Tribolium castaneum: one gene and its partner. The main gene of each other region encodes a partner of the protein of the gene in region 2 in a complex. Links are inferred from orthologs where the notes say so. Each region holds a gene or a part of one and is shown on either strand. Other genes may lie near its edges. The genes, in order: Rrp4 and Dis3.

What was found.
Region 1: Dis3 (region 2) and Rrp4 share a complex: the UniProt entries of both Caenorhabditis elegans proteins name them as parts of the RNA exosome complex. The link is inferred for Tribolium castaneum from reciprocal best matches to the Caenorhabditis elegans genes dis-3 and exos-2.

The regions. Positions count from the first base shown.
Region 1 is NC_087397.1:170,079-173,332, forward strand, and holds Rrp4 (exosome complex component RRP4), read right to left. Parts: upstream 2,018-3,254; 5' UTR 1,937-2,017; coding exon 1,812-1,936; intron 1,761-1,811; coding exon 1,523-1,760; intron 1,462-1,522; coding exon 1,327-1,461; intron 1,273-1,326; coding exon 1,093-1,272; intron 1,040-1,092; coding exon 827-1,039; 3' UTR 803-826; downstream 1-802. Other genes in the region: uncharacterized protein tyn, read left to right, coding at 6-195, 247-398; Impbeta11 (importin-11), read left to right, coding at 2,468-2,605, 2,653-2,753, 2,806-3,254. UniProt on the Caenorhabditis elegans protein: Non-catalytic component of the RNA exosome complex which has 3'->5' exoribonuclease activity and participates in a multitude of cellular RNA processing and degradation events. Involved in regulation of antisense ribosomal siRNA production.
Region 2 is NC_087394.1:36,186,378-36,190,959, forward strand, and holds the start of Dis3 (exosome complex exonuclease RRP44), read right to left. Parts: upstream 2,907-4,582; 5' UTR 2,429-2,906; coding exon 2,375-2,428; intron 2,326-2,374; coding exon 2,161-2,325; intron 2,109-2,160; coding exon 1,951-2,108; intron 1,900-1,950; coding exon 1,500-1,899; intron 1,425-1,499; coding exon 1,011-1,424; intron 169-1,010; coding exon 22-168; intron 1-21. UniProt on the Caenorhabditis elegans protein: Putative catalytic component of the RNA exosome complex which has 3'->5' exoribonuclease activity and participates in a multitude of cellular RNA processing and degradation events. Has both 3'-5' exonuclease and endonuclease activities.

The DNA of each region.
Region 1 (3,254 bases), on a different chromosome or scaffold from region 2:
GTTAGGCTGTGTGCGAATGGGGACGGGATTCGATCGAATCTTGGGGTAGGAGAAAGAGATCTGTGAGTAATACAACCGATGAAGAAAAGGAAGAAGACATGACTTTGAGTCAAGAGATCCTAGTTCTTGATTTTGGAGATGAGAAACAATCGCAGTTTCTCAAAAGCAGCGAATCGAGTGCTGATTTCGGTAAAGGTATTAGTGTTGGATTTCGGACGAGTTTTTATTCAATTGATTTGTTTCTAGATAAAACAGTAACGATCATTGAACCGTGCCCCACCAAGACTTCAGTGTTAGCCTTGGGTGTGACTTGTGCCTTATTAGTTCTACTTTACATCAGTACGCTGTTCTGTTACTACATGAAGAAGTGGTTAAATCCCGGGAAACACATCGCTTGAAGATTTAGAGACACTTTGGTGCTTTAATCAAGTTTGATCTTTCGGTTGAGTTGACGAGCAGCATTGTTAGTTCTGTGATATCGTTAACTCGAGATGAGATATCAAATAGGGAATTCCCCGACTCTACATTATGCAATATGTATTTTTTAAGGATTTTTTTTCGGGAAGGTGGCGGCCTTGGTGATGGAAGCTTTATTTTACCGTTGCAAAAGTTATACTTTCTTGATCTCTTATTAAAACTAATTTGCACTGACTCTCGTTCCTAGAGCAAATTTTGTAACGGTAAACAGTCTAATTCGTGTACTTATTTATTTTATTTATTTACTTTTTTGTATATATCTCGACTAGGCTAACATTATTTATATCGATTATTTTATACACGTTCTCAAGTCGAATAATAGACATTTTTTATAAGAAAAAACTATTTATTATGAATTTTCCAACATGCTTAACCTATCCTGAGTCAAAATTGCTACATCGACCATAGCTTCAGGAATCAATAATTCAGCCACTGAATATTTCTGTGATTCTTCAAAAGCATACAAAATGCTAGTATCGTACAGCATCATTTTACTTTGAATAAGCGCCAAAATACAGTTTCGAAGACGTCCAATTGTTTCTCTTTCTGGCCTTGAAACGACCTAAAAACACCACAGTAGCAAAAAAAAACAACAAAACTATTGTGAGACACAACTTGTTCCAAATTTTGCACAAAGCCACCAGCGTTATCCTCAGCATTTGAAACAGTTGGATAAATCCAAATAAACCCATTATTGCCCAAAATAATACTAGCCCCAACATAGAAATTGTGAAAATGTGTTTTGCTCCTTTTAATGAGCGAGGGAAAGACTTTAACTAAAATACCTTGAGAAAGCTACAATCAAAAATGAACGTATAATCAAAACGTAACGAAAAACACGAGACAAACTTTTCCATATTTCAAACTTCTAGTATGTAAAGATAAAGAACCATCTGAATAAACGCTCTGTACTTCGGCACTTATAAGATCGCCCTCTTGAAGATATTGTCTCATCATATGCTCGTCTTCTGCTGATCTACGCCGCTGAAATTTAATATTGCCAACTTACTTGCAAAATTAACGACCAAAAAAATCTTTTATGTACCAGTTCCCCTCCTGGTAAATTAACGGAAGACAACAACAAGACCGAATCCAGACGCGAATTCGTATCAACTTTCCAGCGTTTTTGTTGGACTTCTGTGACTCGTCCAACCACCACATCACCCACTTCACCATTATATCGACTTTTTAACGGACGAATCGAAATCAAATTATTTACTTGTTCCTTAACTCCAGCAACTGATGATTTTAAAAAACCCTCTTCTTCGTACGTACCATGCCCTCTATTTAGAAAAATCGCAAAATTTCAAAAAAAAACACGAGACAAACCTAACCTCATAAATTCATTTTGCTCCGTAATCACTTGTCCCGGAGTAAATATCTTTGGAACTCGACGGTTAACAGCAATTGAGGGGTTGATGCGATGAGCGGCAAGGCGTATGTGAATTTTTTGCGGCATGTTCTTGCAAAACACTCGAACCGCATTTGAGATTAGAAACAACAATTACTGGGTTAGGCAAGCAACAATACGCAAGTACGCAATCTATATAAAATTGTGACTTCTCTGTTATCAATCTGAATTATTATTGAAACTTGTTTTTAATTTTCTATTTTGTCGGTTTTATGTGTAATTTAATTATTAAAAGGAAATTTTTGTTTTTTGGTATTTTTAATGACTGTTGTGGTAGTCGTGCATGTCATTTGAAACATGTCATATGTGTTTTGACAATTGATAATTTTATTTAAGAAAAAATAATTGTATAATACCGGTCAGGTGAGGCAAAATTTTCTTTTCCACATTGAAATGAAAAAATTTTAAATTTGTTATTACCATAATGTAAGGCGTATTAGGAAATCAAAATTAAATTATTCTAACCTCACTTTTGCGATTTGTCTTACACACAAGTTAAAATTTATTGAAAATAATTCGTATATTGTTGTGTATTATAATAAATTGTGGTTCTCAAGGGGGAAATGATTATAATTCACAATGAATACGGGATCAACACAAGACATCGTAATTGAAGTTCTGCAAAGAGCCTCGAGTCAAAATCCAGAAGTGTTAAAACCGGCTGAAGCCAAATTACGGGAATGGGAAACTCAACCTGGATTTTACACAGTTTTATTTGTACGTATTGGGCAAAAAACACAATTAAATAATACACCATTCTTCAGAATGTTTTATCTAACCACTCGCTTGATATAAACGTACGGTGGATTGCAGTTTTGTATATAAAAAATGGTATTGAACGATATTGGAGAAAAAACGCACCAAAGTAAGTCACGCAAGTTGTAATGTACCTAACTAAAGTTAATGTCCATTTCTAGCGCTATTTTAGAGGCAGAAAAACAAAACATTAAACACGGTTTAATTTTAAGTTTTAACGAACCCGTTAGTCAGATTGCGGTACAAAGAGCGGTTTTAATTTCGAAAATTGCACGAATTGATTGTCCGAAAGAGTGGCCCGAATTATTTCCGACTTTACTACAAGTAATTGAAAGTCCTGATTCTCTAGTCCAACATCGAGGATTTTTAACTCTTCATCATGTAGTTAAAGCCATTGCTTCGAAACGGTTAACAGGCGATCGCCGTTTTTTCCAAGAGTTTTCCAGTAATATTTATTCGTTTGTGTTGAATTTATGGAATAATTTCACCGAACAATTTATGAATGATGTAATGAAAGGCGCAGCTTCGCAACTAGTTCTTACAAATTTGGAAAAAGCACTATTGACTTTGAGGATTTTACGCAAATTGACTGTTTTTGGTTTTTATAAAC
Region 2 (4,582 bases):
AGGGAGGAAAATAAACATTACATCATCGGTTATGATCCAAGGCATTTTGGGCAAACAATTGAGAACTTCCTCAGAGAATTGGCTGTGAGGGACGTCATGTTCCAGCAAAATGACCTCGTTTTCGGTGGTTTGGTCCCCAATGTTGCCCAAAGCTCGCACAAAATGACCCTATTTAAAAAATTACAAAAAATTAATGCAAAAAGAAATTTTTTCCTGAGTAATTTTTTTTTATGCAACTTCCTTATTTTAAATGGATTAGTGGAATTATTTTAAGGCTATTTTTATCAACTTTCCCTATACCTAAGTTGAACCATTTTCAGGATATTTAAGATTTTTTGAAAATTTTTGGATTTGCATCTGTCACTTAAAAAATCGGTAACTCTCTTAGCTTTGGAGATTTCAAAATCATATTTGGAGGATTAAAAGAGAAAGCCTCTATCTGTTCTGCAGTGTATTCAAAATTGGAAAAGACGTTATTAAACCCAAAAATTTTAAAGTTTGAACAACTTCAAGTGCCCATAACTTAATTTTTTCAAATGGGATGTCCCAATTTTTATTTTATTAAATGGAAGAGAATTTTTTTCTACATCGATTTGTATTAGCATTTCCTATAGCTATCTGTGATAATTTTCAAGTTATGTTACTTTTTTTGACATTGTAGAAAATTTCTTACTAATCACAGCTGTTTTTGCATAGTTTGCCATAAAAACATTTCTGAATCAGTCAGTTTTTAATGTCTTTTAATATTAGTGTTCTAAATGTTGACTCTTATTATAGTAGAATGGAAATTACCTCTAAAATAAATAAATTTTATTACGACATTATTATTGACGCTTTCTTAACATGCTTCCAATTTTTTCTTAGACTAAGTTGTAAACTGTTGTTTTTTTATTTTATTTGTTAGTGTTTCTTTATAATCATTGTTTGTCTTTGATTTATTGTATTTTCAGCTTACCTTTAGTGGTAATTTTTTTTGAGTAAATAATTATTTATTTACTTATAACACTTACATGAGGATAGCGTGAATGTTTGGGCCAGGAATCAATCGTAACGATCAATTTCTGAGTCCTTAGAAACTCCGCTTGTCTCGTTTCTATTTTAATTTTGGGTATACTTTTATCAGCTGGAACAAACATCTGATAAACACCATCAATGCCCCCTTGTAAAATGCCACAATATTGTCTCCACTTTCTACGAATAATTCCAACAACACGTCCTGTAGGTTTAGCTCCACTTTTCTTCTTTGTCGCTTTTTGTAACTCGTTTTCTTTTGTCACAACATCGTCAACACTCTCATCACCAACCCCTTCATCCTCTAGGATTATTTCACTCGGACACACCCATTCCTCCTCTTTCAAAAGCTCAACAGCTACAGTGTCACCATCCACTGAGCGGTTAAGGCCAGCCCGACCCTGAACTATCACCTACAGAAAATAAAAACAAATAGCTTCGCTTCGAGTTTCAATATTAAAAATAATGTATTTATAAAATTGCCTTACCGGCTCTTCGTACGAATCCACATTGACAAAACCTTCCAAGAAATTATCTCGAGAGGCTCGGAAAGTCCCCTGGAGCAGCTTTCCCTCTCTTATGCCAGTCAAAAGCTCAACATTACTCAAATGGTTGGGAAAAACGTCTTTCGTAAAATCATTTCCGTGAAAATCTTTCCTCGATAATTTATCGGTAAGACCCGAAGTGTTGAGATTTTGCACATATTCCGAGACGGTGTAAGAAGGTATATCCTCTTTTTGGGCTTTAATCCGATTAGCTGAGTCGTCAGTGAGGAAAACGAATTTTTGTTTAGGGGCATGGTTTATGTACCAGGAACACGCAGCTCTAATACACCTGTCATTGTAATCATTAATTAATTCACCTTCGTTTTGTTGCAAATAAGTGCCTCTGGAAGCAATGTTTTAGGTTTGTATCAATATAATGAAAAAATGTTTTTACTGATGGTGGTCGTTTATAAAAACGTAAAAATGACGACTCGGATTTTCAATTACAGCACACAAGCGTTTGTAAATTGGTAGACTTCGGTGCTTCACCTCGTTTAAAACTGTGTGGAGGATTATCACATTACCAATGACGGACTCTTCCAAAATATCCATCTAAATTTGTAATTTAAATGCTAGTTTTATAAAAAATAAACTCGGAAAATACCTGATCAAGAACAACATTTGTGTCTAGTATTAGATAATGATTAGAAGTAAATAAAGAACATTTGTTTTCGTGGTCTGGGGACAGGAATGACTCCACTGGCAAACAAGTTTCACACTCTTGAAGACCACAAGAAATGTCATCACGAATATAATGTTCTCGAACGTGCTACAATATTAGAAAAGATGGACCCCCATGTTTATTGTCACATACTAACCTTCAGATAATTCCCAACTTTGTTCTTTTTAATAAAAGCTTTAGTCGTAAACATTGTTTAATTATTTCAAATGTTTTTTTACAAAAACATGCCGCAACAAGTTATTTGGAGGTTATATTACAATATTTTTTGTGGTTATGTTTTTGTTGACAGCTGAGGCGGGAAATATAAAAAACTGTTTTTTTATTATAAAAAATACAAAACAAAAATTCTTACATTGTTCCAGCAATTATGAATACAAAAGACCATTACCATATTACCTAGTCATGCACAACGTTTTATTAAGAAATCTAACTCCCACTGCTATATAAACATGCTAATTTATTAAAAATATGCAATAAACGTGTTCCCCATGCGACTTAATTAGTTGCAGAAGCAAAATGAAAAATTATACATCCTGTACGAGTTGCTATTGATAAGTACAGTCACCCAAAATGAAAATGACGTGTCTATAACGCCCAAGTTTTAAGAAATTCGACATTTCGTTTATCATCATTTGAAATAATTGAGGGTTTCATTTTTTGGAAAATTTAATTAATTAATAAATAAATAATAAATTATTAATAAATAATAATAATAATAATAATAATAATAATAATAATAATTATAGTAATAAAAGCTTTTATTAGAGACAAAATGTGAGGGAGCAATCTATAGTTTACACGGTTGATGCAAAATATAAATTTCAATGTGAAATTAAATTTGCTGTATAATGAACAAATTTGAACATTAATTAAAGTATTTTATGATATTTATCTTATTCTTGATAATTTTTACGAAATAATCAGAAAAATAAAAAAAAAATTTTGTTTCATTTTCAGCTCGGTTTATTTAGGTAATACATTCCAAAAAGCTTGGAAAATTTTGTAATTTTGTAATTTTGAGACGTTGTTTTGTCAAAAGATTTATGGATTTAGACGTTTTTTTTTATCAAATATTGTAAAATAAATGAGTATCTTATTCAAAAATGCACGGTAGGTGGTTGTTTATAGACGCATCATTTTCATTTTGGGTGACTGTACTTAGCTTCCCATATAAGTAAAACCACGATATTTAAAAACACAGTTTATAAAATATTTGTTTCGTTCCGGAAACAAGTCTTCCGAGGCGTTTTTCCACATTTTTATCATGTAATTTAGTTAACAAAAAATTATTCTTTTTTTTTATAAAAAAAAAATCATAAAGTAAATTCTTAGGTCGTGGAGAAACTTCTTTGCTTTGCTGTCCTAACAACAGAAAATTATTTTTTTTTTGAACTCAAGTCACTCGAACGAGCGTCTGATCAGCATTCAAAGTTTTTCTGACAAACTGATTTAAAAAATTAGTTTAATAACTTGCGGATTTTACAAAAAAAGTAAAAACCTCTCAGACTAACTTTTGTCTCAAATTTTTTGAAATTCGTTTTAATTTTTGAGTAAATGAGTTCGGAGAATCTTTGAGATGAGCTCGGAACGCAACTGTAACAATTTATCTATCACGAATCGTCTTGATATTTGGCAAAACTTAAAAATTAAAAAACAATCACATTTTTAACAGCCTTGATAACGTACTAATTACTTTGTTCGTAAAACAAACAGATTAGGTATTTGCCGAACTTTACTATTCATTTATTTTCAAAACTATTATTAACGTATAACTCATAGAAAACAATAAAACACATAGATCAAGTTTATGTAACCATATGTTGCATACATGATACTTAAGCGTACCTGTGCATTGTTTAATGTCTACAAAAGTGAATTGAAAGGTATCACGTGTCGTCCTAAGAAAGTAGCTCAAAAATTGCCTAAGATAAGCTAGTTAATACTCATAATACACTCGTAGAAGGTTACATATTTTATTTACAGTAATTTATTTAACTAGCGCCAATTGAATTCATTAAACAAAACCTATCTGCTGTGGTGTGTAGTAGCTGTGAAGAATTACAAGCGTTGTTATTAAGTTACTGTGTTGTTCCAGGTAAATAAAAGCCCTTTATTGTCATACACAAGACCTTAAAAGTGTGACATAAATTATATTAAACAAATAAAAACGTCGGAAAATTCCTGTTTGTAATAAATAACTTGTAATTATTGTTTCCAACTGAATTATGAATTTTTCCACAACATTCGAACAATTTCTAATTAGAATCCGCGTCCTGTGATATTTGAAACAGAGCGACTTACAATCAATAAGAGCGTTCTTGCGCAAGAACGCATCTGTTGCGAA